Linked DNA regions of Anolis sagrei. The protein of the gene in region 2 purifies or fractionates together with the protein of the main gene of each other region. This does not show direct contact. Links are inferred from orthologs where the notes say so. Each region holds a gene or a part of one and is shown on either strand. Other genes may lie near its edges. The genes, in order: EWSR1, EP300, DDX5 and STRAP.

The links.
Region 1: the proteins of EP300 (region 2) and EWSR1 purify together in Homo sapiens (affinity purification with mass spectrometry; 3 studies listed by BioGRID and IntAct, with this or other methods). This does not show direct contact. The link is inferred for Anolis sagrei from reciprocal best matches to the Homo sapiens genes EP300 and EWSR1.
Region 3: the proteins of EP300 (region 2) and DDX5 purify together in Homo sapiens (affinity purification with western blotting; 5 studies listed by BioGRID and IntAct, with this or other methods). This does not show direct contact. The link is inferred for Anolis sagrei from reciprocal best matches to the Homo sapiens genes EP300 and DDX5.
Region 4: the proteins of EP300 (region 2) and STRAP purify together in Homo sapiens (affinity purification with mass spectrometry; 3 studies listed by BioGRID, with this or other methods). This does not show direct contact. The link is inferred for Anolis sagrei from reciprocal best matches to the Homo sapiens genes EP300 and STRAP.

The regions. Positions count from the first base shown.
Region 1 is NC_090034.1:48,575,874-48,583,787, forward strand, and holds the start of EWSR1 (RNA-binding protein EWS), read left to right. Parts: upstream 1-4,914; 5' UTR 4,915-5,036; coding exon 5,037-5,049; intron 5,050-7,914. Other genes in the region: RHBDD3 (rhomboid domain-containing protein 3), read right to left, coding at 89-239, 1,092-1,310, 1,399-1,561, 2,133-2,516, 3,284-3,441, 4,288-4,301. UniProt on the Homo sapiens protein: Binds to ssRNA containing the consensus sequence 5'-AGGUAA-3'. Might normally function as a transcriptional repressor. EWS-fusion-proteins (EFPS) may play a role in the tumorigenic process.
Region 2 is NC_090025.1:161,827,757-161,834,812, reverse strand, and holds the start of EP300 (histone acetyltransferase p300), read left to right. Parts: upstream 1-4,041; 5' UTR 4,042-5,655; coding exon 5,656-5,749; intron 5,750-7,056. UniProt on the Homo sapiens protein: Functions as a histone acetyltransferase and regulates transcription via chromatin remodeling. Acetylates all four core histones in nucleosomes. Histone acetylation gives an epigenetic tag for transcriptional activation.
Region 3 is NC_090022.1:179,768,393-179,776,151, reverse strand, and holds the start of DDX5 (probable ATP-dependent RNA helicase DDX5), read left to right. Parts: upstream 1-4,753; 5' UTR 4,754-4,874; coding exon 4,875-4,906; intron 4,907-7,759. UniProt on the Homo sapiens protein: Involved in the alternative regulation of pre-mRNA splicing; its RNA helicase activity is necessary for increasing tau exon 10 inclusion and occurs in a RBM4-dependent manner. Binds to the tau pre-mRNA in the stem-loop region downstream of exon 10.
Region 4 is NC_090025.1:181,635,653-181,643,006, reverse strand, and holds the start of STRAP (serine-threonine kinase receptor-associated protein), read right to left. Parts: upstream 3,019-7,354; 5' UTR 2,817-3,018; coding exon 2,705-2,816; intron 1-2,704. UniProt on the Homo sapiens protein: The SMN complex catalyzes the assembly of small nuclear ribonucleoproteins (snRNPs), the building blocks of the spliceosome, and thereby plays an important role in the splicing of cellular pre-mRNAs.

The DNA.
Region 1 (7,914 bases), on a different chromosome or scaffold from region 2:
CATTATCCCCTAAGATGGCAAGGAGGCAATTTGACTGCACAGATCATCCGTGATCCTAGACCATCCGGTCAACACTGCGAAGAATGTCCTACTTCCGGTCAGGAGGGACCACCACCACGGCATCGTTTCCAACATGGCCGCCAATCAGCAGTGAGACGGCACCCTCGACGTGGCCCACTGCAGCCAAAGCAACCACTGCCTCTTCAGTGGCGAAGCCCATTTTTTGGAGCTGCTGAAGCCTGCAAAAGAGAATGGATGCCTTCAGAGTCTACCCATCCTCATCCAACCCCAACCAAGCCCGAACCTGAACCCACTCTATATTTCGGAGTCGATTCATTGTAACCCTAACCCACTTGGTATTTCGGAGCCTACCCATCCTCAATCTAATCCTAACCCACTCCATATTTCAGGCTCTACTCATCTCCACCCTAACTCTAACCTACTCTGTATTTTGGAATCTACCCATTCTAAGACTAATGCACTTCATATTTTGGAGTCTACTCATCCCAACTCTGATATGCCCATCCCAAGCTAGATATGAGATAATGACTCAGCATTCCATATTTTGGGGCCTACCAATCCTAACTGTAACATACTCTATATTTCAGGGTCTACCCAAACCTAACCCACTACATATTCTGGAGGCTAGTCTTCCCTAGCATTACCCTAACCTAACCCTATCTTGGGTTTACTTCATATTTTGGCACCTACCCAATCTAACCCTAACTCTAACCCATCCACTACCTGACTCTAACATCTCTAACCCTAACTCCATCCCCACTCTAATCTTAATCCAACCCCACCCTAACCCATCCTAACCATAACCCACTTCACAGTTCAGAGTCCACCCATCCCCAAACTAATCCTAATCCAACTCTGATACATTCCATATTTCCGAGTCCATTTATCATCTATCTATCATTGCCGTAATCCAATGTGTATTTGGGAATCTACCAAACCTTAACTAACCCAGCCTAACCCCAATTTTTCAGAGTCTACTCATCCCCAGCATGACCACAACCCTAACCTGACCCCAACCTAATCCTAACCCACTCCGTATTTTGGAGTCTGCTCATGGTCCACCATTTTACCGGAGGGACGAGACGGATGATTTGGAAAGTGTGACCTCTTCCTTGACCATGTCTTCCAGGGAGGCCTGGATGCCGGCTTGGAGCAACTCCTCCTCTATTAGGGCTTCCTGGAAGGCAGAGAAAGGTACAGCAGGGGACAAGGAAGGACTTCCTCTTGTCTGTGATGGGGATTCACTTGGGAAAAGCTCTGGGAATTGAATACTGGATGCTGCGTAAATCCTGGGAAGGAAAATGAATGTGAGGTCTGGTCTAGGGGTAAGTCAATGTTCATACTGAAAAGGAATCAAAGTGGGTAACATAGGCTTACTCTTGTGTTTTAGCAGCTGCCATGGGGTTCGTAACCGGAAGGCTTCTGGCTTCTGGGGGCCGGACGAAGTGAAGGAACGGAGGGATTTGGATTTGAATCCTGCTATGTATCCTTTCTAAGAACCTGTCCGATGGTTCAAGGAGAAAGAAAATCCCAGCACGGTCTGAGATATGTCAAGGATTAAAACCAGATTTGTTGCTATTTTTGACTTCTGACCTTTGACTAATGTTTCCCAACGACAGTATTTTTTTTGAGAGAGAGACTCCCTTTGGTTTTGAGCTACTGGACGTGGACTACATTGTGGCTACTTTGGACAAAAGGCCTGTACCTTCCTTACGCTCCCTGTAGGTCATTTGGGGTAATTGGTGGCCAATTTTGACCCCTGGCCTTTGGCTAAACATGACCCAAGGATATCTTTTTGGAAGGACTCTTTCACTATTGGACTGCTAGTCATTGGAGCCAGAAAGAAACCAGAAGGGCTACACTTGGGTTACTTTGGGCTAGAGGTCACTTTTGAATGTTGACCTTTGGCTAAATTTGATCTAAGGCGAGAGTGAGGTTTTGAAGGGGGGAGAAGACACCACTATTGGCTCAGCAGACCAGTCATTTGGAGGTCTTCCTCTCCCATGCTCCCGAGAAGTCATTTGAAGGTATCTATACTCATTTTTGACCTGTACCTTTGGACTAAACATCACCCAAATCTATATTTTGGCCAGTTTAGGATTCAAGGATACACGCCAAACCAGTCAAGAGGCCACAGATATGGAGGAGGAAGGATGACTGGGGTGAAAGGGCCTGGGTCAGCCCCACCAGTGCTCCGGCCAGCAAGGCGGTGGACATCCAGCCAGAGAGCCCCTTCCGCCACTGCTGAGAACCCAGGAAGACCAAGTGGACCGGAGTGTAGCCACTGACTACAGCATTTGAGTGACCGCCCCAAAGTCCGGCCAGAAGGAGGTACATCAAGGCTGAGATGACCGCCCCAAGGACAGCGGTGTAGAGGAAGTGTATGGTGCCCATGCGCAATTCTGGCCGCCATCCAAAGAGCGGGAAGAAGAGAAGGCTGACTGACAGGAGAGAGATGTCTGAATGGCAGAGGCAGTATGTTACGAGGCGGAAAGCTGCAGGGAAGAAATTGACACAGGTTATTGCGCACTCAAATCCGTCAAAATATGGGCAGAAGGTGACAACTAACAAAAAGGGAGTCCTTCCCAAAAAAACACGGTGCATAACAGGATCCTCTGTGGGATACAATTCTCACGCAATCACGGACCTGGGTATTTTTCACAATAGTGGAATTCTGTTCTCCCGCAATAAAGGGATACTGTGTGTGAGCAACAGTGTAATAGCAGGACAGGAGTATTGCTATTGCTCAGAAGCATAATACAGTTTTTGCGAATTACAAATGGGCACAGTATTTGATGCACAATAGCAGGATATAGGTATTGTGGTACAGAATAATAAGGTTATTTGTGGAATAGCCCAATAGTTACAGTGCAAATGAGAAATAGTTAGGGTCCAATGGCATAATATAGCTGTTGCGCGATAGCACAATATTCCTGCACAAAATGGCATATTGGCTATTGCTCAATGTTGTAATATCATTATTTTACATGTAAACAATATGTTGCTTTTCCAATTTCATAATATGCAATTGCATATTAGCTTGATATAGGTAAGTGTCCAATCGCACAATATAGTTGCCGCGCATGGTAGTGTAAAATAGCAGAAATGTGAATGGGCAATAGCAGAAACTGTGGTGGGCGATAGCATGATACCCTTTTTTGCGCAATCATGGGGAATGCTTTCCTTATTTTCTGGCTGAAGCATGCCATAGGGTCGCTCAGAAGGGCCAACAAAAGCCAGTGCGATTCTATGGCTAGCCTACCTTGCAAGGGATTTGTGAGCAGGCCGGGCACTAAGGCCAAACCCTCCTCAATGTCCATCCACCAAACAAGGAAGAGAAGTCCCATGAGGCTGGAGGAAGCAACAGGGGGCCACTGCAAGTCCCATTGTCCACGCCAAAGCCGTCGTATCCGCATTCCCCTGCAAAGCAACAAGTCCTGTGATTGAAAGAGTCCCTTTGGGGAGAAAGGACAGGTGAAAAATAAAGTATTGTTCTTATTATTACAACTTATGATATAGTACAATCAGAGGCGGCCCTAGATAATTTTCAATGGTAAGCAAACTGTATTTTGCCCCCCCCCCCCCCAACCAATCACTGATATATATTTTCTGTTTGTCGTGGGAGTTCTGTGTGCCATATTTGGTTCAATTCCATTATTGGTGGAGTTCAGAATGCTCTTTGATTATAGGTGAACTATACATCCCAGTAACTACAACTCACATATGTCAAGGTCTATTTTCCTCCAAGAGCGCCCCTGAGCAACATCAACTATACTGCAAATGCTTACTTTGCGTAATGGGTTGAGCCGCCCCTGAGTACAATGTATTATATAATTGTATAATATATATAATATATAATATATATAATAGTATAATATACTGCTAGTGTATTATATACATTGTGGCATAATACTATAGTACAAGATAATAATATATAATAATATAATTGTTTATTATATATTACTAATAATATTGCAGTCTAGTGGTATAATAATTTATAATGCTAATATTGTGCTATACTCATAATATAATATATACATATAATATTATTAATAATATTATAATGAGTCCCCTTGGGGAGATAGGGCAGTATGTTTTATTATTATATAACAATAATATTGTAATTTACCAATACTAATAATAAAAATAAGTAATACTGATAATATACAATAATATATCATGGTATACTGTTTTATTGTTGTATATTTGAAGTTGTAATGTTTTTGATTGTGAGCTATCATGCCCAGTCCTGCTTTTCAAACTCACCTGGACAGAACCATTTCCTCCCCTCTATGCAAGCCTTTGCTGTCTTCGCACCCCTATTTCCCTTCATTGGAAGAGTCCAAGACTCATCGTTGAATAAGAAGAGCAGGGGATACCAAGGAGAATAAGGGGGCGGGAAGAACGTGGCGTTCTTCTACATTGGCCTTCATTTGCTCCCTCCCGCCCCCTTTTCCCTTTCATTGGAAGAGTCCCGTGCCATAGCTTCCTAACAGAAGGTCGGAAGAGTCGAAGTCGGAAAAGGGGGTGAATAAAGCTGCACAGTGGGAGGGGCTTAGGCTTAGACTCCTCCCATCACTCAAGCTCTAGCCTCATTTCCCCCTCACTTCACTGTACCCTTTCGTTGGAAGTGCAAAAGCTTATACAAGGGCGGGAGATACCAAAGCGGATAAGGGGCGGGGGAAGTGATTCAATTTCCTCTCTGGAACGAATCCCTCTTCCATTGCATTGGAAGACTCTGAGAACGAAAAGCTTCGACAAGAAGGACGGGGGATGCCAAAGTGGTACAAAGGAGGGAAAAGCGATTAACACCCCTTTCCTTTCCATTGGAACAGTCCCAGATTGGGTTTCTATATAAGGAAGGCGGGCGAGGCCAAAGAGAGAAAAAGCGGGTGAAGAAAGAGGCGGCGGAGGAAGAAGCGAGTGGGGCTCCTTTGCGCATGCGCGGCATAGAGCCCGTTGGAAAGGGGCAGGGCTCAAGCGGCTGAGAAGAAGAAGAAGGAGGAGGAGGGAAGATGGCGTCGACGGGTGAGGCTGGCTCGAATGAGGGCCGCGTGAAGTGGGAAAAGGAGGGAAATGGGCCCCTCTTGAGGGGAATTTAAGGGAAACTGGTGTGGGAATATTGGCGGAGGCGGACAAACGAAGAGAGGGGTCGCTTTTGAGGGAAAAGAAAACGGTTTTGGGAGGAAAATGGAGGACAAAATGGTTCCTCAGGGAAGGCCCAGGAAGAGGTGGTAAAAAATCACCTTCTAGTTGATGTACTGCCATCTATTTCCTATTTATCTCTCTCTGAAACGCGTTTTTTATTATTTTAAATAACACTTAAAATTTTTTATTTGATTTGATCGATTTATATCCCGCTTTATCACTATTACTCTCAATATTTGTCTATATAATCTACTATTAGCATAGGGCAATATTAGTTTGTTGTTTATTCGTTCAGTCTATATTATATTATGATTAATATTATAGTATTACATTATAATATACTAATAATAATTATTAATCATAATATAATATATTATATTTGAAGTTGTCATGTTTTTGATTGTGAGCCACTTTGAGTCTCCATAGTGAGAGATACAGCAAAATATAAATCAATCAATTTTTATTTTATGCTAATAATGTAGTCTATGTATAATACAAATATTATATATAGACCATATTATTAGCATAAAATAAAAATTGATTTATATTTTGCTGTATCTCTCACTATGGAGACTCAAAGTGGCTCTCAATCAAAAACATGACAACTTCAAATATGCTACAATTAAACAGTATTATAATTATCAAAACTAGTATAATATTATCAAAACTACAGTTAGGTGGATCTGTAATTGGTTAAGTGAACGCGCCCAGGCGGTGATTCTCCCTAATGCTTCCTCTTCATTCTGGAAAGGAGTGAGGAGTAGAATGCCACAAGCAGGGTTCCGTCCTGGGCTCGGTTCTGTTCAACATCCTTATTAATGACTTAAATGAAGGGTTAGAAGGCACAATTATCAAGTTTGCAGACGACACCAAATTGAGAGGGAGAGCCAGTACTCCAGAAGACAGGAGCAGAATTCAAAACAATCTTCACAGACTAGAGCAGTGGTTCTCAACATGGGGTCCCCAGATGTTTTTTTTGCCTTCAACTCTCAGAAATCCTAACAGCTGGTAAACTGGCTGTGATTTCTGAGAGTTGTAGGCCAAAAACATCTGGGGACCCCAGGTTGAGAACCACTGGACTAGAGAGATGATTGGCCAGAACGAACAAAATGAAGTTCAACAGGGACAAATGCAAGATACTCCAGTTAAGTAGAAAAAATGAAGTGCAAAGATACAGAATGGGAGACGCATGGCTCGAGAGCAGCACGTGTGTGGGGAGGAAAGGGAACATGAGCCAACAATGTGATGCAGTGGCTTAAGTCAATGGGATTTTGGCCTGCATAAATAAGAGTATAGTGTCTATATCCATGGAAGTCATGCCAACCTTCTATTCTTCCTTGGGCAGACCACACCTGGAATCACACCTTGTCCAATACTGGGCACCACAATTTAAGAGATATGTTGACAAGCTGGAATGTGTCCATAGGAGGGCAACTAAAATGATCAAGGGTCTGGAGAACAAGCCCTGTGAGGAGCGACTTTAAGAGCTGGGCATGTTTAGCCTGGAGAAGAGAAGCATGAGGGAGACATGATGGGGGCTATGAAAAAAGATGTGAAGGGAAGTAATAGTGAAGTAGGAGCAAGCTTGTTTTTTGCTGCCCTGGGGACTAGGATGAAGAACAATGGCTTCAAACTACAGGAAAGAAAGGAGATTACACCTGAATATTAGGAAGAACTTCGTAACTGAGAGCAGCAGTGGAACTCTCTGCCCCGTTGTGGAGGCTGAATGGCCTTCTCTAGGGGGTGGGCTGTGAATGTGATTTTCCTGCTTCTTGGCATGGGGTTGGACTGGATGGCCCACGAGGTCTCTTCCACTTCTCTGATTCTGTGATACATTATTATATATAATCAGTAGTAATTTTATTTAATATATTGGTGTTACCATATTACATTCTTCTTATTATGTAATAATAAAACTTGATATACCATACTTGATCTCCCCAAGGGGACTCATAATATTATATAACAACAACTTCTTTTTAACGTGCCCTCTCTCCCTGGAAGGGACTCAAGGCAACTTCCAAAAACGAAAAATGGTAAACATTCAATGCCATGTGCAAATAACAAATTAAAACAATTAAAGCAAACAGTTAAAAATAAAACAATTGAACAACATTGGCTAAAAGATACAACATATAACTCAGTCAGGCCTCATAAATAACCCCATTAAGCATTAAAGCTGTTACAATCTATATAAAATATAAACATATAAAAAAACATAAAATATATAAATACGTAGCTCTTCAATAAGTTAAGGAATTAGTTATAAGTATAGTTCTATATATTATTAGCATAGCACAATATTAATATTATATATTATATTGTGCTATACTATTAGACTAATATTTTAATAATATATAATAGAAAATTATATTATTATACTATATTATTCCACCACAATATATTTAATGCACTACCAGTATATTATACTGTTAGCATTCTATAACATATTGTACTATATCATAAATTGTAGTATATATAACATATCACATTAATATATATAATATGCTAGTATTATTACATTACAATGTTATTATTTCTATATATTATTATATTGTATATATAGAGAGAGAATCAGGAATCTTTTTTTTCCTCAGTAGAAATTCCATTTTAAACAATTTTTCGTTATTATTGGTCATTTTATTTTTGGAATCTTTTAAAAGCATTATTTATTGTGATTAATGGTAATTTTATTTCTTTAACCTTTCAAAAATATCTTTTGGATAATTATTCCTTTTTTCCATT
Region 2 (7,056 bases):
GGCAGAACAGCTGTCTGTCACCACCTTCTGAGAACAACCATCTAGATAGGAAGAAAGTCACTAAAGAGTGATGTCATATAACACAGGGTTAGAGGAATTTTGAACGTCACAGGTTTTGTACTATAGTTACCATAATATTTTACATTTGACTATGTTTGAGAGGACTTCTTAGAGTTACATTCAAAGCTATTTGAGAGTGAATGTGTCCATACCTGTTACAAAATGCACAGTCAGCCCTCTGCATTCACTGGGAGCCCTTCCACACAGCCATATAACCCAGAATATCAAGGCAAAATATCTGGAATATATGGCAGCATGGACTCAGATAACTCAGTTCAAAGCAGATATTGTGGGATTTCCTGCCTTGATAATCTGAGTTATATGACTCTGTGGAAGGGCCCTGGGACTGGGGACACAGAACCTCCATGAAAGTGAAACACTTAAAATAAAAACGTTGCTATTTTGGTTGTTTCTTATCTATTGGTATTATATAAATCTTAATAAACACAAAAACCCAACTTTTTAAATGTGAGAGAACAGTTTTCTGTGATTTATAGATGCTGGAAGCTGATTATCAAATTGCATTGAAGGGCCATTCCTAGGGCCCTTCCACACAGCCCTGTAGTAATTCTGTAGAATTACTGACAGTGGGTTCATTGCAATGATGAACATTATTATTATTATTATTATTATTATTATTATTATTATTTGTCGTGTCAGGAGTGACTGCAAGTTGCCCCTGGTGTGAGAGAATTGGCCGTCTGCAAGGATGTTGCCCAGGGGACACCTGGATGATTTTGATGTTTTTATCATCCTTGTGGGAGGCTTCTCTCATGTCCCCGCATGAGGAGCTGGAGCTGATAGAGGGAGCTCATCCGCCTCTCCCCGGATTTGAACCTGCGACCTGTCGGTCTTCAGTCCTGCCGGCACAGGGGTTTAACCCACTGCGCCACTGGGAGCTCCATTATTATTATTATTATTATTATTATTATTATTATTATTATTTGAAACAAGCGGAGTCCACAGCAGACAAGATCACTCTGCTGGCTGTTGAATTGGGTCACACGTGTCCAAGTGTCTAGGACTGTGTGATGTATCGGCGAATGATGCGTGCAGATCCCAGTAAGGTGGCCTTCTGCAGCTGGCAGATGGTAATTTTGTCAGTGCTGATTGTGTTTAAGTGCAGGCCAAGGTCTTTAGACACTGCACCCAGTGTGCCGATCACCACTGGGACCACCTTGACAGGCTTGTGCCACAGTCTTTGCAGTTTGATCTTTAAATCCTCATATCGTGTCGGCTTTTCCAGTTGTTTCTCTTCAATCCTGCTGTCACCTGGGATTCAACATCGACAATCCATACTTTGTTTTTTAACACAATCGTGAGGTCAGGAGTATTATTATTATTATTATTATTATTATTATTTTACTGACACAAAAGCACAGTATGTCACAGCAAACAAGATCTATATGCTGGATTTCATATCAAAAAATCACAAGTCGAACACTTCCCAAGCGTTTAGGACTGTGTGATGTATTTTCAAATTATGTGTGCAGATCTAAGTAAGTGGCATTTTGCAGTTGATAGATCGCGATTTTGTCCATGTTTATTGTTACCAAATTGTTTGGCACGGCACCCAGTGTGCTGATGACCACTGGGACCACCTGTACTGGTTTATGCCAGAGCATTTGCAGTTCAATTTTGAGGTCCTTATAACAGCCAAGTTTTTCCTGTTGTTTTTCCTCAGTGCAGCTGTCATCCGCTATGGCGACATCAATAATCCAAACTTTTTTCTTTTCCACAATCGTGATGTCTGGTGTATTGTGTTCCAAAACTTTGTCAGTCTGGATTCGAAAGTCCCACAGTATTTGTGTGTATTCATTTTCCACTACTTTTGCAGGTTTATGATCCCACCAGCTCTTCACTACTGGCAGGTGGTACTTGTGACATAAGTTCCAATGAATCATTTGGGCCACAGAGTTGTGCCTCTGTTTGTAGTCCATCTGTGCGATTTTCTTGCAACAGCTGAGGACATGATCAATGGTTTCATCCACTTCATAGCACAGTCTGCATTTTGGGTCATCAGCTGATTTTTCAATCCTGGCCTTAATGGCATTTGTTCTGATGGCTTGCTCCTGGGCTGCAAGAACCAGGCCTTCTGTCTCCTTCTTCAGGGTTCCATTCGTGAGCCATAAGCAGGTCTTCTCCTTATCCACTTTTCCTTCAATTTTGTCAAGGAAATGCCCATGCAATGCTTTGTTGTGCCAGCTGTCAGCTCTGGTTTGGAGTGCAGTTATCTTGTACTGATTCTTTGTCTGCTGTGCTTTGAGAAGTTTCTGATTATTGACTTCAATTAAAGCAGGTTCTTGGCTTTCCTTTACATATTCTGCCAGGACGTGTTTTTCTTCTTTGACTTGTAGAAGTCCTCTGCCCCCAGACTTTCTAGGCAGATAGAGCTGATCAACATCACTGCGAGGATGTAGTGAATTACAGTCATGAATTTTCTTGTTTTTCTGTCCAAATTGTCCAGTTCTGTGTCCAGTTTATGATGCCAGCAGTATATCTTATGACAGGTATGGCCCAGGTATTTTTGGCCTTGATGGTGTTGCCTCCATTGAGCTTGCTTTTGAGAATTTTTCAGACCTTTTGAATGTATTCTTGGCTGACCACAGTTTTCACATGTTCATGTTTGATAGTAATAATAATAATAATAATAATTAGAAACACAACAAGATGAGTCCACAGCAGACAAGATCACTCTGCTGGTTGTTGTACTGGATCACACGTCAGACACTTCCTAAGTGTTTAGGACTGTTGTTATTATTATGGTTGTTATTGTTGTAGATGGGGCCCTGGTATGGTGACATCAATAATCCAAACTTTTTTTATTTTCCACAATCGTGATGTCTGGTGTCTTGTGTTCCAAAACTTTGTCAGTCTGGATTCGAAAGTCCCACAGTGTTTTTACGTGTTCATTTCTCACATTTGTGTGTTCATTTTTACAACAGGCCCATCATGAACCTTTGCAGGTTCATGATCCCACCAGTTCTTTACTGCTGGTAGGTGGTATTTGTGACATTATTATTATTGTTGTTGTAGATGGGGCCCTGCAAACCGCCTCTTCTTCGCCTCTGAGGCTGAGCAGAGAAAATGGGGTTCTCTAATTCTAAGTGTGGGGGAAATGTGTTGCTGTGTGTGTTCCGGAGAAACTAGTCTACACAGGAAGAACAGGGCGTTCTTGCCGCCTGGACATACTCTGGTTTCCTGGTGATCGCGGAAGAGAGGGCGACTCTCTGCTTCGTGTTGAGTGCCAGACAGCAGGTGTGGTGGGGCGGCCTTGGGCGGCGTCACACACTCTCGGCCTCAGTCGGGACCGGCCCGAAGGCCAAGCATGGAGGCCGGGACACCTTGGGCTGCCAGGCCGCCTTCTGTTATCCCAGAAGGGAGAGGCCTGGGTCCTGGCAGGGAAAGCAGGGCGAGAATGGCGTAAGAGGGGAAGGAGGCCTTTGCCCCTCCGCCCTCAGGCTGCGCCGTGATTTATGATTCTTACGATGGCCAGTGTATAGGCAGAGCACACAATCTGGATAATATCCCTACGTGTGTGTGTATATCTAGATCTATACGGGGCCTCGCTCTCTCTCTCTCTCTCTGCGGTCCCTGCGGCGGGGCCTCCTCCCAGCCTGCCTCACTCTCCTCCTTCCCTCCCCCCTCCCTCCTTTTACAACAGGCCTATCCTTAAAATCTCAACCTGGCGGCTGATTTTGGCCGACGGAAAAAAAGGCGGAGGAAGGGAGAAGGGGAAGAGATGTGCGCGTGCGCGCGCCCTCCCCTTTAAATCGCCGAGCAGGGTTTTTTGTTTTTTTTTTGCGGAAGGGGGAGCGCGCGAGCGGAGTGGCCTAAACCCTCGCCTCGTGACCGCAGCCGGCTCGGGCTCGAGCTCGGGCCCCGCCCCGCGCGCGTTCCATTGTGTGCGCGAGCCTGCGTGCCGTCCCCGCCCCTTTTGCCCCTCCCTTCCTTCCCTCCTCTTTGGCCACGCCCCCCCTTTCCCCCCTCTTGGCTCATTTCCGGCCGCGGCTGCTTGGCTTCCCTCGGAGGAATCGGGAGAGAGAGAGAGAGAGTGAAGAAACAACAGCCGCCATTTTGTTTGTGTGTGTGAGAAGAGAGAAGAGAGCGCGACTGGCTCCAGGGAAGAGAGGGAAGAGAGAGGACGGAGAAAGAGAGACAGAGACAGAGAGAGAAGGGGGACCGGGGAGAGAAGGAAGGGAAAGAAAGGAGGAAGGAAGGCAACGACGGCTGAGTGAGATCCGGGCACTCCTCGGTTCAGGGAAGAGTCGAGGCCAGCCGAGAGCGTCGCCGACCCGTCTTGCTCCCGGCCTGGGCTTGGGACCCCACCCACAGCGCCGAAGGAGGAGGGCTTGGGGCCTGTGGCCTGGCTCCGCGCCTCCTCCATTCCCTCCCTCCATGGCGGGCAGGAGACGGAGCCCTCCGAGTAGCAGCAGAAACGCCTGAGGCACCACCACCGCCGCCGCCTCGGCTCCGGAGCCCCGTCTCCCTCCGCCTCCTCCTGGCTCTCCATTAGCCAGTCGCCCTCCTTCTTTCCGGGGAGGGGAAAAGAGGCAGCGAGAGGGAGAGCGAGAGAGGGAGGGGGAGGGGCCGTCCTAGCTTCCTCCTCCTCCTCTGGGATCGATCCCTCCGCCTGACCAGAAGGGGGGTACCCTGCCACAGAGAGAGAGAGAGAGAGAGAAAGGAAGGAAAGGTAGAGGAGGAAGAGAAGAGGAAGAAGAGCCCTCCTCCCTCTCTCCTTCCCTCCTTCCCTCCCTCCATCGGGACAACAACCCCCTCCTCCTTGTTCCTGCACAACAAGATGTGAAGCGGGGACTCCTGGGACTTCTCTGCTGCTGCTGCTGCTGCTTCATCCTCCTTTCCTGCAGCCATTGGTAGTGACTGACTGGCCGGCCAGGGAGGCGGCGGTAGGGGGAGCCGGGGACCCCCTTTTCCTTCTCCTCCCTCTCCACCTGGGGGCCATCTCGTCGGCGGGGAAGCGGGGACGGTTCTCCTTCGCCTTTTCCTCCCCCCCGCTCCTCCTCCTTCGCCCGCCGCCTCCTTGTGGCGATGAGGAGGAGGAGGACGACGCCGAGGAGGAAGAGGTTGATGGCGGCGGAGAAGAGGCAGCAGGAGGAGGAGAAGAAGAAGGAGGAGGCGACCACGACGACGGCGTTGGCTTCCACGGCGACCCCCCCGAGGAGGATGGCGATGAAGATGGTGGCGTTGGCGGCCGCGAGGAAGCCCCAACAGCCCCGCAGCCGGATTTGAGCCGGCTTGGGGAACCCATCAAGTCCTGCTCCCTTGTTGTTACTCTTTTTGATCCTCTGTGGCATCCAGAGAAAAAAGACTGCTTCTGCTGCTGCTGCTTCTTCCACACCCTGTTTCTTCATCTCTGTTTTCTCCCCTCTTAGTCGCTGCTGCTACCCAACGGAGACAGATCCCGAGGGGCATTAAAAGAAAGAAAAAAGAGGAACTTTGTTCTTTTCTTCTTCTTCTTCTTCTCGTATTTGTTGTTGTTCACTTGATTCCTGATCCGAGGAGGTGGCTTTTGCGGCACTGGAGATCGATCCCCGTCTTCAATTTGGGCTCTGTTTGTCTAAAAAAGAATTAAAAATGGCCGAGAATGTGGTGGAGTCGGGCCCGCCTTCAGCCAAGAGGCCTAAACTCTCCTCACCGGCTCTCTCTGTCTCTGCAAGCGATGGCACAGGTCAGTTTTGGGGAGAGATACCCCTCGTTTTCCCTCACTGCACTCTGGGAGCCTTCTCTTCCCTCTTGGGCTCCTTTTGCTCCCATGTAGTCTCTCCTCTTGCTCTTCTATGAACCCACTTTTACACTTGGCTGCATTAATCAGTTGTGGGGTTTCAGTGCTGTTGCCTTTCATATCGTTGAAGAGGCTGAAAGCCAGTCTATACTGGCTGGTTTACCTGTGTGGCCATTTGCTGTCTTGAAGGCTCCGTTAACATTGTCTCTTAGTATTTGCACAATGCCTTGTACTACAGTATATACCTGGCATGGGCAAACTTTGGCCCTCTACTACATCCACACTATGGTATATACCAGGCATGGGCAAACATTGGCCTGCCAGGTGTTTTGGACTTTAACTCCTACAATTTCTAACAGCCAGTAGGCTGTTAGAAATTGTGGGAGTTGAAGTCCAAAACAATCTAGAGGACCAAAGTTTGCCTATGCCTGGTATATATCATAGTGTGGATCTATACTGGCTGGTTTACCTGTTTGGCCATTTTTCTCTTTAGTATTTCTATAATGCCTTGTGCTACAGTATATACCAGGTATGTGCAAACTTTGGCCCTTCATGTGTTTTGACTTCAACTCCTACAATTCCTAACTGCCAGTGGGCTGTTAGGAATTGTGGGAGTTGATGTCCAAAACACCTGGAGGGCCAAAGTTTGCCCATGCCTGGTATATATCATAGTGTGGTTTACCTGTGTGGCCATTTGTTGTCTTGAAACCTCTGTTAACACTGTCTCTTAGTATTTGTACAATGCCTTGTGCTACAGTATATACCAGGCATGGGCAAACTTTGGCCCTCCAGGTGTTTTGGACATCAACTCCCACAATTGTGAAATTGTGGGAGTTGATGTCCAAAACACCTGGAGGGTCAAAATTTGCCCATGCCTGGTATATATCATAGTGTGGATGTATGTTCATTTTCTCATGTAACAGGGCATTCAGTGCCAGCCTTCCTTACTCCTTAATGTTATCAATATTCTGATTTGAACCATTGCTTGTTTCATTTCCACTAAATGGAATGTAGCCAATGTAGATGAATAGTGTTCATATTGGCATTTTTGTCAAAGCAGTTTCACCAGATTTGCATTGAAAACAACATGGATTCTCTTCTTAAACTGCATGTTTGTTTCTTTGTGAGTCCAAAATGTCTGAAATTCCGATAGTCTTGCTACGTTTATGAGGACATGGACAAATCATCTAGCTGTCTTTCCTATATTTTAATGATGGGTTTATTGATGGGCCTGTGAGTTTGGATGGAAAGAA
Region 3 (7,759 bases), on a different chromosome or scaffold from region 2:
CTGTTCCTACTTTTTAGTGCATCTACACTGTGGAATAAGTGCATCATGATATCCCTTTAGATGCCATGGCTCAATGCTTTGGGATCCTGGGATTTGTAGTTTGGTGAGGACACAGCACTGTAATAAGAAATTCAATGTACAGATTTGATAAATGTTAATTTAATAATTATGTGTGGGAATGAATGGAAGAATGGAAGTTGTATGTGTGGAATTAATAATTTTGGAGACCCTACTAAAATACTAAGGCCTTGGGATCCTGGAATTTGTAGTTTGGTGAGGACACAGCACTCTTGCAGAGAAGGCTAAAGAAAAACCTTGAAAAACAACAGTATTTATGGTATCATAGCTTTAAGCCATGGCAGTGAAAGTGGTGTCAAACTGCCATAATTCTACAGTGTAGCAGCACCTATAATTTGAATTATTTGAATCTAGGCCCTCTGTGGCGGTTGTATTCTCTTCCCTTGTGAAAGATGGCAATGCAGTGACTGCCTAGTACTGCAAGAGCCCCATTTAATCCATTGTCTAAAGGGGGGTTACACTTTCTTTCCAGCTGTACTCTGTTCCATCAATATTGTGAGTGCTCTCCTCCTTCAGTTTCATGTTTTCATTTACGAGCAATATAAAATAATGTATTAGAATTGCTGCTACACCTTTTCCATTGCTCTCTTCACTTCCGGCATATAAACAGGCAACATGTTAACCCCTCCTGGGTGTCTTTGTATTGACAGGCAAAGCCCTGTAATTTTTTTTTTTTTTTGCAGACTTTGAGCACTAAAGGTTTCCAAGACCTTTAGTACTCAAAGTTTGCAAAAAAAATATACTGCTATGTAATTAATTTTCTGAGTCCAGATGATCTGCTTTGAACCTGATTATATGGCAGCGTAGGTCCAGCCTCTGTTGATAATCCAGTTCAAAGCAAATCATCTGGATTCAGAAACTGGATTACATAGTAACCTAAGAAAATAACTTTTAAGAGGACATTGTCTTGTTTTGTGTGTTGAAACTCAACCAGAGCAAAATTTTATAAGACTGCACCATTTTGAATGGTTTTTACCCATTGACTTGTACATTTTAAATTGTTTCTATGTTAATGTTGATCTTTTGTATGTTTCAACTATTCTGCAATCGATGTAACTGATGGTGATGATAAGTGGATAAATTGCTACTATTGCCAAAACATTGCTTTGCAGATTCGATTGACAAGGTTTGACATGATAATGCAGAAAATTACAACAGGGAGTCCCCAAATTACAAACATCAGACTTACAAATGACTCATAGTTAAGGAGGGTGAGACAACAGGAAGTGAGAGAAATCTACTCTTCGGAAAGAAAATTCACTCCTTATAGTGGGAAAAAGGTGTTTCCACTTAAGCTTTCTCCCCAATCTTTGTTTCCACAACAAACTATTTTTTTTTCAAAATCCAATTATCACAGGGACAGAAGGTGAGGTGAAATCTTCTGAACAGGGTCACGGGCAGCAAAACAAACACCACAGGGCTATTAACTTTTCCCTATGCTGTCCAAAGCTTATAGAAATATGTGGCTGGAGTTACATTTCAAAATGTATGTGTTCTTACATACAAATTTAACTTAAGAATAAACGTACAGAAACTGTCTTCTTTGTAACTTGGGGACTGCCTGTAATGGCCTCGTCTTATAATCATGCAAGCGGTACAGGGAAAATATAGACTTGCTTGTGAGTGCCTTTGTTCTAGTGTAATTGAGCTTTTTGGGGTGTTATTTTGGAGTGATTTCACGATGGAACATCTCAAAGGTCGGTATACTTTTTTCAGCTGGGACTACTATGCTTTTAATTGACAAGTCAAATCTAGAAAATTCTAGTTACCCCAGCAAAGCAATGGAGTGACAGGAGAAAGTTTATCTATTGAAGCTGTGTTGGATTTGAACAATTAAAAGCGTAGGAACCCAACTAGGAGGAGGAAGAGCAGCATCTAACTGCTCAGGGGATCATGAATGCCTTTAGATTGCTTCATAATAGATTTATCACAATTATGTGCCCCTCTGACTTCACAGCAAGGTCTTTATAAAATCCTGGGGATACTGTTGGCCCAGTTTGATTGTGCAGCTGTCATTGGATGCATCTACACTGTAGAATCAATGCAGTCTGATACCACTGAATGTGATGGAATCACTGGAGTTATAGTTTCCCAAGGTCTTTAGCCTTCTGTGGGATCTTGCCAAACTACAAATCCCATCATCCTACAGAACTGGGCCACATCAGGTAAAGTGGTTTCAAACTGGATTAATTATACAACATAGATACACACAGTTAATCTGGATACTTAGCTTGTACAACTGCAGTTTATCAAACCTATCTTGAGGGAAAAGTTATTATGAATCTCGTAATATTTGTGTGCTATGTATAGCATACAATCTTCTATACACAATCTTCTTCCTGATGGAAACAGCAACCTTCTCAAGCCTCTAGTCTACTGGTTATTTGTTATGTATATAATTGCTTACTATATTTATTTGTGTATTGGTATGCAATTTGACCTTAATTCTTTGTTGTGGGAGGGGCTGCAGACATTGTGACACTTAAAACGTTAGCATATAAAATATAAATTCATATCAAGTCAATAAAAACAATAAAAACGTATATCCTCAGCATCTCCTTACTGAAATAATTATTCAATCACATCGTCAGTTATCAATGTTTCTTCAATAAATATTTTCCCATCTGCTTTTAAAAATGTTACTTTTCCTTAGGCCTTTTTAAACCTGTAAATTAAATGTTAATTTATCATTTACTGCTCATTTCCATATTTCCTTATACTATTCTTCTACCTTAATTTCTACTCCTCCTTTCCCATTTTGTGTTATTAATAGCCTTGTTAGATGCTGGTGTAATGTCAGGAGATAATGCTTCTGAAACATGACCATACAGCCTGGAAAACTCATAGCAACCGGTTCACAACATCGTTATCAAATTCTTTATGATTCTAGATTATCTGCTTTGAATTGGATTGGTCCCCACTGCCAAATAATCTGGGATAATCAGATAATCTTGGATGTAGATCCAGCCTGAGATCATATAATACAGTCCTAACTGCATGAAATGACTGTGTAGATAGGGTGATAGGCCCCAACTAAACTCTGATATAATCCATTTTATAATATATATATTTATAATGTATATTTTACAATATAATGGGTAAAAACAATTCAAAATGGCGCAGTCTTATAAAATTTTGCTCTGGTTGAGTTTCAATCATTATAATTTATATTTTACTAGCTGTCCCCTGCCATGCATTGCTGTGGCCCAGTCTGTTGATCTGGAAAATAAAGTAATGAGAAAATGTTGGTTTCTAATATATGTAATTTGTTTATGGTTGTGGGTAAGCATATTTCTTGCTGTTTCTTTGTCAGTGTTGATGCGGAGAGTGTCTGGTTTGCCCACCCTGGAACATATAGGATATCATTGTCCTTCTTTAGGGGTCCCTTTCAAATCTATGATACTATATCTCTCTCTGTGTGAATCATATCTATCTATCTATCTATTCCTTGATGGCTCTTTGTCAGGAGGACTTTGATCATGTTTTCTTGCCCTGATGAAGGGAGTTGGGTTAGATGGCCTTAAGTATTTTCTGTTGGTCGTGGGTGTTCTGTGTGGGAAGTTTGCCCCAATTCTGTCGTTCGTGGGGTTCAGAATGCTCTTTGATTGTAGGTGAACTGTGAATCCCAGTGACTACAACTCCCAAATGTCAAGGTCTGTTTCCTCCAAACTCCATCTGTGTTCATATTTGGGCGTATTGAGTGCTTGTGCCAAGTTTGGTCCAGATCCATCATTGTATGAGTCCATAGTGCTTTCTGGATGTAAGTGAACTACAACTCCCAAACTCAAAGTCAATGCCCACCAAACCCTTCCAGTATTTTTTGTTTGGCATGGGTGTCCTGTGTGCCAAGATTGGTTCAATTCCATCGTTGATAAGAGTTCAGAATGCTCTTCGATTATAGGTGAACTATAAATCCCAGCAACTACAACTCCCAAATGACAAAATCATAATTTTTGAGTGGTCACTCCTTGTGTTGTAAGAAGTTTTGTTGCCAAATTTGGTATAATTTCGTTCACTGCTTCTTTTGTTTTTAAGATGCTCATTATCCACAGAGCATTTTTATAGATATAGATAATAATAATATAAATATAATCCTCCTAGGGCCTTTCCACACAGCCATATAACCCAGAATATGAAGGCAGGAAATCTCACGTTATCTGCTTTGAACTAGAATATATGGCAGTGTGGACTGAAATAACACAGTTCAAAGGCGATATTGTGGGATTTCCTGCCTTGAGATTCTGGGTTATATGGCTGTACGGAAGGGCCCCTAGCCAACAAGAGAGGATGCGTGACAAACGTCCTCACGTACAGGAACCAAGCAGGGTCAGTGCCCGGAGCCGAATGAGAGCCGGTCTGCGCATGCGCGCTCAGAGCTGCGTGGGCGTCAGCCGTGGAGGCCGAGCCAAGCCTCACAAGGCGCCCTGGGCTCCAGCGGCTACTAGGCCGAGTGGGAAGCCCCGCCCCTTTTTGTCCGAAGGAGCCGAAAAGCCGGCCGGCTCCAGCTCCTGCGCTCCTTATAGGCCGAAAGAGGTGCCCATCACTGTAGCCCCGCCCCATCGCCTTTGAAAAAAAAGGAAGAACGTTGGAAGTGGAATCTGGAGGGAGGGGCGGGGCTCTTTAGTGACGTCACGAGCCGGCTTCCCGGCATTCGCGGCGGCGCCGGCTATATAACCGGCATCCGCCCGGCGAGACACTCCCCATTCAGTCGCCCCCGCCATCGGCTTTGCGGTTGATCCCAGCCTGCTTGTGTCCCTCGCCGTTCCGTCGTTCAAGGCCCTTTCTTCGTCGTCAGCATGCCTGGCTATTCCAGCGACAGGGACCGCGGGTGAGACCTGAGGGGGCTCTTTTGAAGGATGAACTCTGACGGGGAAGAGCGGGGGGGGGGGGGCTCTAAAATGGCGGCGGGGGGAGCCGGGGGTATTTAAAATGGCGGCGGGGGGAGCCGAGAGTGGCCAAAATGGCGGCGGGGGCGTTTGGGAAAAAGGAGAGGCGTGGGGGGGAATTCAGAAACGGGTTGAGTCTGGGAGGGGGAAGGAAAAGGGAATGGTTAAATATCTGAAAGGATTGTGGTGGGGAAATAGAAGGACCTCCTTTTCCTCCTCTCTTTTGTCTCTCGTCCCCGCCATGCGGTGGCTGAGGGGAAATCAAAATGCCGGCGGCTGCCTCCTTTGTTCCTCCTCTCTCTCCTTTCTCTCCTTATCCCCGCCCCGGCGTTAAAATGGACGCGCGCCGGCTTAGAAAATGTGGCGTAGACGGGGGAAAATAGGCCCTCAAAGCAAGGGGAGCCCCTCCTGTCCAGCTACCCGCCTTCCAGGCTTCCCTTTCCGTCCCTCTTCCTCCATTCCTTCCAGACAAAAGCTGAGCGGGGACGGATTTACTCCTCGGCTGGGGTTTTAGAGGAGACTTTCGATGGAAAAAGGGGGAGGGGGGTTGCGCATGCGCAGTGGCGCCTTGGCGTTTTTCTCCCTCTGTGAAAGAACCCTAGAGTTGAAGGGCCAATCCAGTTCAACCCCGTCCTGCCTGCCACGCGGGGATACACCATCCAATCACTCCCGACAGATAGCCATCTGCTTTGAAAAAACTCAAATTATGTGTTATGGTGGAACTCCTGAGATGTGGATGTTTATGTATGGTTCTCAAGAAAAGAAAAGAAAAGAAAAGAAAGGGAGAAAAAGGGGGGAAAAAGAAAAGAGAAGGGAAAGAATTTTTTTAAAAAGAAAAACTCCAGAGAAGGAAAGTCCACCATGCTTCCTTTTTTTTAAAAAAAAAAGAAGAAATATAATCCCCTTTGTTCTTTAAAAAAAAAGCTGCTTACCGGAATTGTGTCGGTTTCACAATCCTCCCCCACCCACTTTGAGGCACTCCCTCTCTGCGTCAAGACACTCAACAATTACGGAACAATTTTTTTAAAAAAAACAACACACATCCTTAACAGTTCAAGCTTTTTGTCCTGTATCACAGTGCATAGATTATAGATTGTAGTCTATACTATAGTCTATATAGGCTATATAATAGTCTATATAGACTATATAATAGTCTATATAAATAATTCCAACTCCCTTCATCAGGGCAAGAAAACGCAATCCAAGCCCTCCTGACGAATTGCCATCCAGCCATAGATATCTATATAAATAAAAATGTAATGTTCGTTTGTGGGATTAACAGAACTCAAAAACCACTAGACGAATTGACACCAAATTTGGCCACAAGTCACCTACTAACCCAAGGAGTGACCATCACTCCAATAAATTGATATTGTTATTTGGGAATTGTAGTTGCTGCAATTTATAGTTAACGTACAATCACAGAGCATTCTGAACCCCACCAACGATAGAATTGGGCCAAACCTCCCACACAGAATCCCCATGGAGATGGCTAGTCTATATAAATAAAAATGTAATGTTCGTTTTTGGGATCAACAGAACTCAAAAACGACTGGACGAACTGACACCAAATTTGGACACAAGACACCTAACATCCCAATGTATGTCCTTCACTCAAAAAAGTTGATTTTCTCACCAAAAATGGCAGTGAACCAAACGTGGCATACAGGACTCCCATGACCAACAGAAAACACTAGAAGAGTTTGGTGGGCATTGACCTTGAGTTTGGGAGTTGTAGTTCACCTATATCCAGAGAGCACTGTGGACTCAAACAATGATGGATCTGGACCAAACCTGGCACAAATATTCCATATGCCCAACTAGGAACACAGATGGAGTTTAGGGAAAATAGACCTTGACATTTGGAAGTTCTGGTTACTGGGATTTATAGTTCACCTACAATCAAAGAGCATTCTGAATCCCACAAACGATAGTATTGGGCCAAACCTCCCACACACAACCCCCATGACCACCAGAGTGGCCCACAGCAACACGTGGCAGGGGGCAGCTAGTAATAATAAAACTTTATTTATACCCCGCCATTATCTCCCCAAGGGAACTTGGGGCAACTTACATTAGGCCAAGCTCAATAAAATGCAGTTGCTTTGCTTGTCCTCTAAATCTTGGATGTTTTAATATTTGGATGTTGATAGTGATATATTAATATCACTACCACAATTAATTAATATTATTAATTATATATTTTTATTTAGAAGAAGAATATTGTATGCTACTATAAGTTTCTATCCACCTTATTGAACCACCCTATCTCTTAACCAGTTCGCATAGTGGCCTCCCCCCCTCCCTAAAATTAATCTGCTGTTGTTTTTTATAGTTGTTTATTACTGTTTATGATATTTTATGCTATTTTGTTATTGTTTTGTTTTTAATTGTATGTTGCCTTGGGCTTGGCCACATGTAAGCCACCAAGAGTCCCTTCGGGGTAGAAAAATAAAGTTACGATACTATACAATCATGTATAGTAACATTTACGATATTTCTACCCTACCTTTCTCAAACCCACAGGTGGCAAATGATATGATTAGAGCGATAGTATTATTATTATTATTAATAACTTTGTTTATATTCCACATCTCCCAAAAGGGACTTGGTGTGGCTTCCAAAAGCATGTGTTAGTGCAGTGCTATATGTACAATACAGTAAAACGAATTAATGGCACTCCATGCAGTCATGCTGGCCACATGACCTTGGAGGCGTCTACAGACAACGCTGGCTTAGAAATGGTGCTCATCTCCAGCTTAGAAATGGAGATGAGCACCAACCCCCAGAGTTGG
Region 4 (7,354 bases), about 20 Mb from region 2:
TGCTTTAATTATATTGTTTTGAAAGTTTGATTTGATTGTATGTTTACTATTACTACATTGTGTTTCTTCTATTATAAGCCACGAGTCCTTTTGGGGAGAGAGGGCGGGATATAAATAAAGCTTCTTCTTATTATTATTATTAAAGTAAGTATTTTATACATGTTGTTCATAACCATAGGCAAAAACTAGTGGTTGTCATATCTGGAGTAGAGCTGTTGTAACACATGTAACTTAGTTATGAATGACCATGGCTCATTTCTAACCAGACATATCAGATATTTTAAGCAGACAAAGGGGCAAATGAATTGGGGATTTATAAGCAACAATCCAGCACTGTTGTTTGTGGGGATGAGGGAGAGGGCCTTCTCGGTGGTGGTCCTCCGGCTTTATTTATTTACAGCATTTTTGCCCCACCCTTCTCAACCCCCGGAAGGGGACTCAGGAGATTAGACTGGCACCCAATCTGTCCACCTTCCGTAAAGACCTTAAAACCTGGATGTTCCAATGTGTGTTTGAGAATGATTAGGCCCCTGTCCATGAACGCCCAGCCTCAATTGTCCATTAGAGTGAACTCAGCACTTTTCCACAGCCCTGGCCCTATAATCTGCTATTTGTACAAGTCCATGTCCAGCACTCGCTAATTTTTGATCCTGCCCATCTTATTCCTGGTTCTGGTTAGTGACATTTGTTTTGATTCAGTTCATAGTTGTTTTTAAATATTTAATTGAATTATTAAGTTTATTATGTTTTAAATGTATTTTTAGTGATAAACCCTGTTGTGTTGGGTTTCGTCCCACTAGTAAGCCGCTCCCTTTGTGGAGATGGTGGAAGGATATAAAAAATAAAGTTGTTATGACGATTTTTATTATTAGTTAGCAGGAATACACCCTGTAAAAAGTGGTTCCTCCATAGTTGTTGTTTTGTTCAATTTTTCTGCAATTTAACAGTTCGAACCCAACTTACTTAGCTGACCGCATCTTCTCCTATGAAACTACATGTGCCCTGAGGTTCTCGGGAGAGATCCTGCTCTCGGTCCTGCCTCTGTCTCAAGTGCAATTGGTGGGAACAAGAGAGTGGGCCTTTTCAGAGGTGTACCCAAGACTCTGGAACTCTTTTCCTAAAGAGGTTAGAATGTCTCCCTCCTTGCTTTCATTTAGGGATCTAAATTTCTATGGAAGCAGATCTTCCCTGAAGGAGAGGGATATTGAAAACAACAGATTCATCTGTGCAATGTATACATTTTAATGAACTTCCGGCAATGGACTTGACTACAGCATAGGAATGGATATCAGGTGTGGTTTTTTTTAAAAAACTTTTTTGAATGTTTAAACTGTGTCATGTTATCTATTTACTATGTATTTATATTTTTATTAGACATGTTTGCGGTGTGATGATAATGCTTATTTTTATCTCTATCTGTATATATAGAGATATAGCGGGCCTTGGCCTTTGTAAGCTGCACCGAGTCATTCGGGAGATGTTAGCAGGGTACAAATAAAGTTAATAATAACAATAATAATAATAATAATGCTTTGAAATGTTTTTTGTTACATGTTTGAGTCCCAATTGGGAGAAAAGCAGGATAGAAAATAATAATAATAATAATAATAATAATAATAATTTGCATTTTCCTGACTTGTTCTTATTGTTTGTAGTTTGAAACCATTGTAGTTTGAAATCACTGAATCAGCAATATGTCCTCAGATTGCACTTTAACTATTGGATTGGGTTGGATTGCGCTCCCCTCACCTTACCAGATATATCTTACCTTGTTCATGCCCAGTGTTTATTTTTTAAATTTTAAACTATTGCATTTGGCCCGACCATAGGTTTTTAAATCCTTGTGTGTTATTGCTTATTGTTTATATGCTATTTATATTAATTGTATACTATTGTATTGTTTTTGTGTATTGCTTTCTTGTATTGATGTGTTGTTGAGCTTGGCCTCATGTAAGCCACCCCGAGTCCCTTGGGGATTTGGTGGTGGGGTATAAATAAAGTTTTCTTATTGTTGTTGTTTTCCTATTTATGTAGCACTTAGGGCAGGCATGGGCAAACGTTGGCCCCTCCGGGTGTTTTCAACTTCAACTCCCACAATTCCTAACAGCGAGCTGTTAAAAATTGTGGGAGTTGAAGTCCAAAACACCCGAAGGACCCAAGTTAGCCCATGTCTGATCTACACAGCATAATGAATACAGAATACAGCAGAATGAATGAATACAGCGGAATGAATGAAGGCTCAGCCAGGCCTTCAAATGCTAATGAAGGTGGTCAGTTGAAACATTCACACTTAGCTCCAGCAGAGAAGAGCTCTTTGCCCCACCCCAGCCATTCCACAGATATATAAACCATTGTCCTAATGCCAACAGACCTCACTACCTCTGAGGATGCGTGCCATAGATGCAGGCGAAACATCAGGAGAAATGCCTCTAGAACATGGCCCTATAGCCCGAAAAAACCCACAGGAACCTAGTGATTCCAGCCATGAAAGCCTTCGACAATACATGGAATGAATACAACTTGGCATCATTTTTGCTGTCATGGCTCAACGCTAAGGAGTCATGGGAGTTGTAGTTTGGTGAGGCACCAGCACTAAAAGCCTTGAGAAACCACAAAACCCCAGAATCCTATATTATTGAGTCATGGCAGTTGAAGTGGTGTCAAACTGCCTTCAGGAGCTCCCCCACACCCCCAGGAGGCTCACCTTTGCAAGCACTGATGAGGAAGTAGCCGTAGGGGGTGATGCCGCTGAAGGCCAAGTCCACCACAGGCCGCGTGTGGCCCGAGCACGTCAGCGGCGTCTGTCGCATCGCCATGGCGGCCGAAGGAAGGGAAGCAGAGGGTGGACGAAGAAGGGAAGCGGCGGGGTCTGGAGGAGGAAAGAGGCCGCTGAGAGAGGCAGAGGAAGGCGACCCTCGCTGGCTCCCTCAAAGCCACGGGAAAGGCCGAGCCGCTGACGACGAGAGGGAGACGACGGCACGCCGGCAACGGAAGTGAACTCAGGAGGGGAGAAAAATGGCCGTCGCCGGAAGTGCTGAGCCGCCGCCGCCGCCTAGGAAACCATAGAGCCGCTTCCGGTTTCCTGTCCCGGGAGGGGAGAGGCATGGAAAGCTTATTCTTAAAGGGCTGCAGAGCGGAAGTGACGTCATCGCCAAGCTCTTCATAGAATCCTAGAGTTGGAAGAGACCTCATGGGTTATCCAGTCCAGCCCCCTGCCTAGAAAGAGGAATATTGGCGGGGACGAGGGAGAGGGCCTTCTCGGTGGTGGCCCCCCGGCTGTGGAACACTCTCCCGGCACACATCAGACAGGCGCCCTCCCTCATGTCCTTTCGAAAAAGCCTTAAGACCTGGCTGTTCGAGAGGGCATTTAATTAAGTGCTAAGCAACAACATTACGGTAATGAGAACTGGAATGGTATAAGGAAGATGAGACTGGCTATGATTCTACTAAGAGACGAAGCGGATTTTTATGTAGTTTGTATTTGTCGTATAGTTATATGTTGTTGATACTGGCCTTTGTAACTGTCTTTTTATGTGTACTGTACACCGCCATGAGTCGCCCGTAAGGGCTGAGAATGGCGGTTAATAAGTGCATCAAATAAATAAATAAATAAATAAATAAAGCACCCCCGACAGATGGCCATCCAGCCTCTCATGGCTAGAATCACTAGGGTCTTGTGGGTTTTTTCGGGCTATAGGGCCATGTTCTAGAGGCATTTTCTCCTGACGTTTCGCCTGCATCTATGGCAAGCATCCTCAGAGGTAGTGAGGTCTGTTGGAATTAGGACATATATCTGTGGAATGGCTGGGGTGGGGCAAAGAGCGCTTCTCTGCTGGAGCTAGGTGTGAATGTTTCAGCTGATCACCTTCATTAGCATTTGAAGTCTTGGCTGAGCCTGGGAAAATACCCTGTTGAGAGGTGTTAAGATGTGCCTGGTTGTTTCCTCTCTGCTGTTTTGCTGTAGTAATTTTAGAGTTTTTTAATACTGGTAGCCAGATTTTGTTCCTTTTCATGGTTTCTTCCTTTCTGTTGAAATTGTCCACATGCTTGTGGATTTCAGTGGCTTCTCTGTGTAGTCTGACATGGTGGTTGTTGGAGTGGTCCAGCATTTCTGTGTTCTCAAATAATATGCTGTGTCCAGGCTGGTTCATCTGGTGCTCTGCTATGGCTGACTTCTCTGGTTGAAGTAATCTGCAGTGCCTTTCATGTTCCTTGATGCATGTCTGGGCGCTGCGTTTGGTGGTCCCTATGTAGACTTGTCCACAGCTGCATGGTATACGGTAGACTCCTGCAGAGGTGAGAGGATCCCTCTTGTCCTTTGCTGAACGTAGCATTTGTTGGATTTTCTTGGTGGGTTTGTAGATTGTTTGTATGTTGTGTTTCCTCATCAGCTTTCCTATGCGATCAGTGGTTCCCTTGATGTATGGCAGGAACACTTTTCCTCTGGGTGGATCTTCATCTTTACTCTTGTGGCTTGTTCTTGGTCTTGCAGCTCTTCTGATGTCTGAGGTGGAGTCTCCATTGGCCTGGAGAGCCCAGTTGAGGTGGTTCAGTTCATCTTGGAGGAGGTGGGGTTCGCAGATTTTTTTTGCACGGTCTGCCAAGGCTTTAATGGTGTTTCTTTTTTGACTTGGGTGATGGTTGGAGTTTTTATATAGATATCTATCTGTGTGTGTGGGTTTTCTGTAGACGGTGTGACCCAATTGTTGATCTGGTCTGCGGATGACTAGGACATCTAGAAAAGGCAGTCTTCCTTCATTTTCTTTTTCCATGGTGAACTGGATGTTTGGGTGGATGCTGTTAAGATGGTCCAGGAACCTGTTGAGTTCTTTTTCTCCATGGCTCCAAATGGTGAAGGTGTCATCCACATATCTGAACCATATCGTGGGCTTTTTGGTTGCTGTTTCCAGGGCTTGTTCTTCAAAGTGTTCCATGTAGACGTTAGCTATGACTGCCTTGTCTGGCAGTGCCTGGAGCAATCTTTTGCTGAGAGATTATTAGATGTCCTTGTTTGTTTCCTCTCTGTTGTTGTGCTGTTCTAATTTTAGAGTTTTTTAATACTGGTAGCCAGATTTTGTTCATCTTCATGGTTTCCTCCTTTCTGCTGAAATTGTCCACATGCTTGTGGATTTCAGTGGCTTCTCTGTGTAGCCTGGCATGGTGGTTGTGAGAGTGGTCCAGCATTTCCGTGTTCTCAAATAATATGCTGTGTCCAGGCTGGTTCATCAGGTGCTCTGCTATGGCTGACTTCTCTGGTTGAAGTAGTCTACAGTAGGGATCTTGTTAGGCCGCTCCGTCGTTTCTGAGGCAACAAAATCTGAGGAGAGATGCAGCCTTGCTTTTTTTAAAAAAGACTCGAGGTGCCAAACTGCATTCAATCTACAGTGTAGATCAGGCACGGGAACACTTCGTCCTTCCAGGTTTCTTTGGACTTATTTATTTTATTTATTTATTTAGTACATTTCTATACCGCCCCTCTCAGCCTTCCGGCGACTCAAGGCGATTTACAAGGCAATTCATTGCCACCAAGGACACAATTACAATATCTATATATTAAAAAATGCTCTGTGCATAATGTGTACCTTAAAAACAAAAGAACCAATGAACGAAATCACACCAAATTTGGCAACAAAATGTCTCACAACACAAGGAGTGACCATCACTCAAAAAATAATGCTTTTGTCATTTGGGAGTTGCAGTTATTTATTTATTATTTATTTATTATTATTTACTTTGCTTATATACCGCTGTTCTCAGCCTGGGGTCGACTCACAGCGGTGTACAACATAGAAAGAACAAGGTTTAAAAGTCAAGACGCAATCTAAAATATCAATCTAGCAATAACCAAAGACATCATCATCAAAAACATCAACAATATCAATAATACAAAAAGCCATTCATGTCGTCTCATCGTTTAAACCACAATCCAGTATCATTTTCCGTTGTTCCATTCCTGTCGTCATTACCAATTATTGCACTTCTTGTTCGAACACTTTCTTGAACAGCCAAGTTTTTAATTTCCTGCGGAATATCATCAGGGAAGGAGCCAGTCTGATGTCCACGGGAAGGGTGTTCCACAGCCAAGGAGCCACCACCGAGAAGGCCCTGTCTCTCGTCCCCGCCAGGCGGGATCGAGAGCAGGGCCTCCCCGGATGATCTCAAAGTCCTGGTGGGCTCGTAGGCCGAGATGCGGTCAGATAGGTATCTTGGGCCGGAACCGTTTAGGGCTTTATAGGCCAACGCCAGCACCTTGAATTGAGCCCGGTAGCAAATCGGAAGCCAGTGGAGCTGGTACAACAAGGGCGTTGTATGCTCCCTGCGTCCCGCTCCTGTTAGTAACATGGCTGCCGCACGTTGGACCAATTGAAGCTTCCGGGCTGTCTTCAAGGGCAACCCCACATAGAGAGCGTTGCAGTAGTCTAAACGGGATGTTTAGACTACTTGAACCCTACCAATGATAGAAATGGGCCAAACTTCCCACACAGAACCCCCATGACCAATAGAAAATACTGGAGGGATTTGGGAGGAATTGACAATAATTTAAGGGAGAGCACGCCTGCTCTCCCCTCTCCCCTTGGAGTCACGGAAACAGCCCTCCCCTTGGCTGAGAAGCCAGCCAATCACAGCAGGAGGAGGGCTTTTGGTGGGAAGAAAAAGGAAGAGAAGGACAGACTGAGAGATCTTCTGCCTTCTCTGCCAAAGAGCTTCCTAAGACCATCAAACAAAATGTTTTCTGATGGTCTCTGGCGACCCCTCTGAAACACCCCCCCTGTGGTCCCAACCCCCAGGTTGAGAAACACTGCTGTACACAGTAGGTTGTTAGGAATTATGAGAACTGATGTCCAAGACACCTGGAGGGCCGGAGTTTGTACATGCCTGATCTACACTGTAGATTGAATGCAGTTTGGCAACACTTCAACTGCTATGGAATCATGGGAGCTGTAGTTTTAAAAAGGTCCGTAGCCTTCTCTGCCAGAGAATGCTGGGGCCTCACCAAGCTACAACTCCCAGGATTCCCTAGCATTGTGAAAGTGCTGTCAAACTTTCACAATGCTAGGGATGCACTCATAGTCAATCTTCAATTGAGGTGCAACCACATCTGGAAGGCCATAAGGTGGCAGAAACCTGTCTATTGATTATGTATTCTGTCAAAAATGTTAAATGCTTAATAATGCCAGGTTCACCAGTCTAACCCTCTATAAAGAGGCCCTTATTTGAAGAATTGGGGACTGGACCGGACTGAATCAATTGAAAAATGGGACACTCTCAGTATGTTTCTAGCTTGCAGATATAAGACTGAGCACTAGATGGCACTACAAAAGAGTGAAAGCGGCTCAAACCATCTCAAACTAGC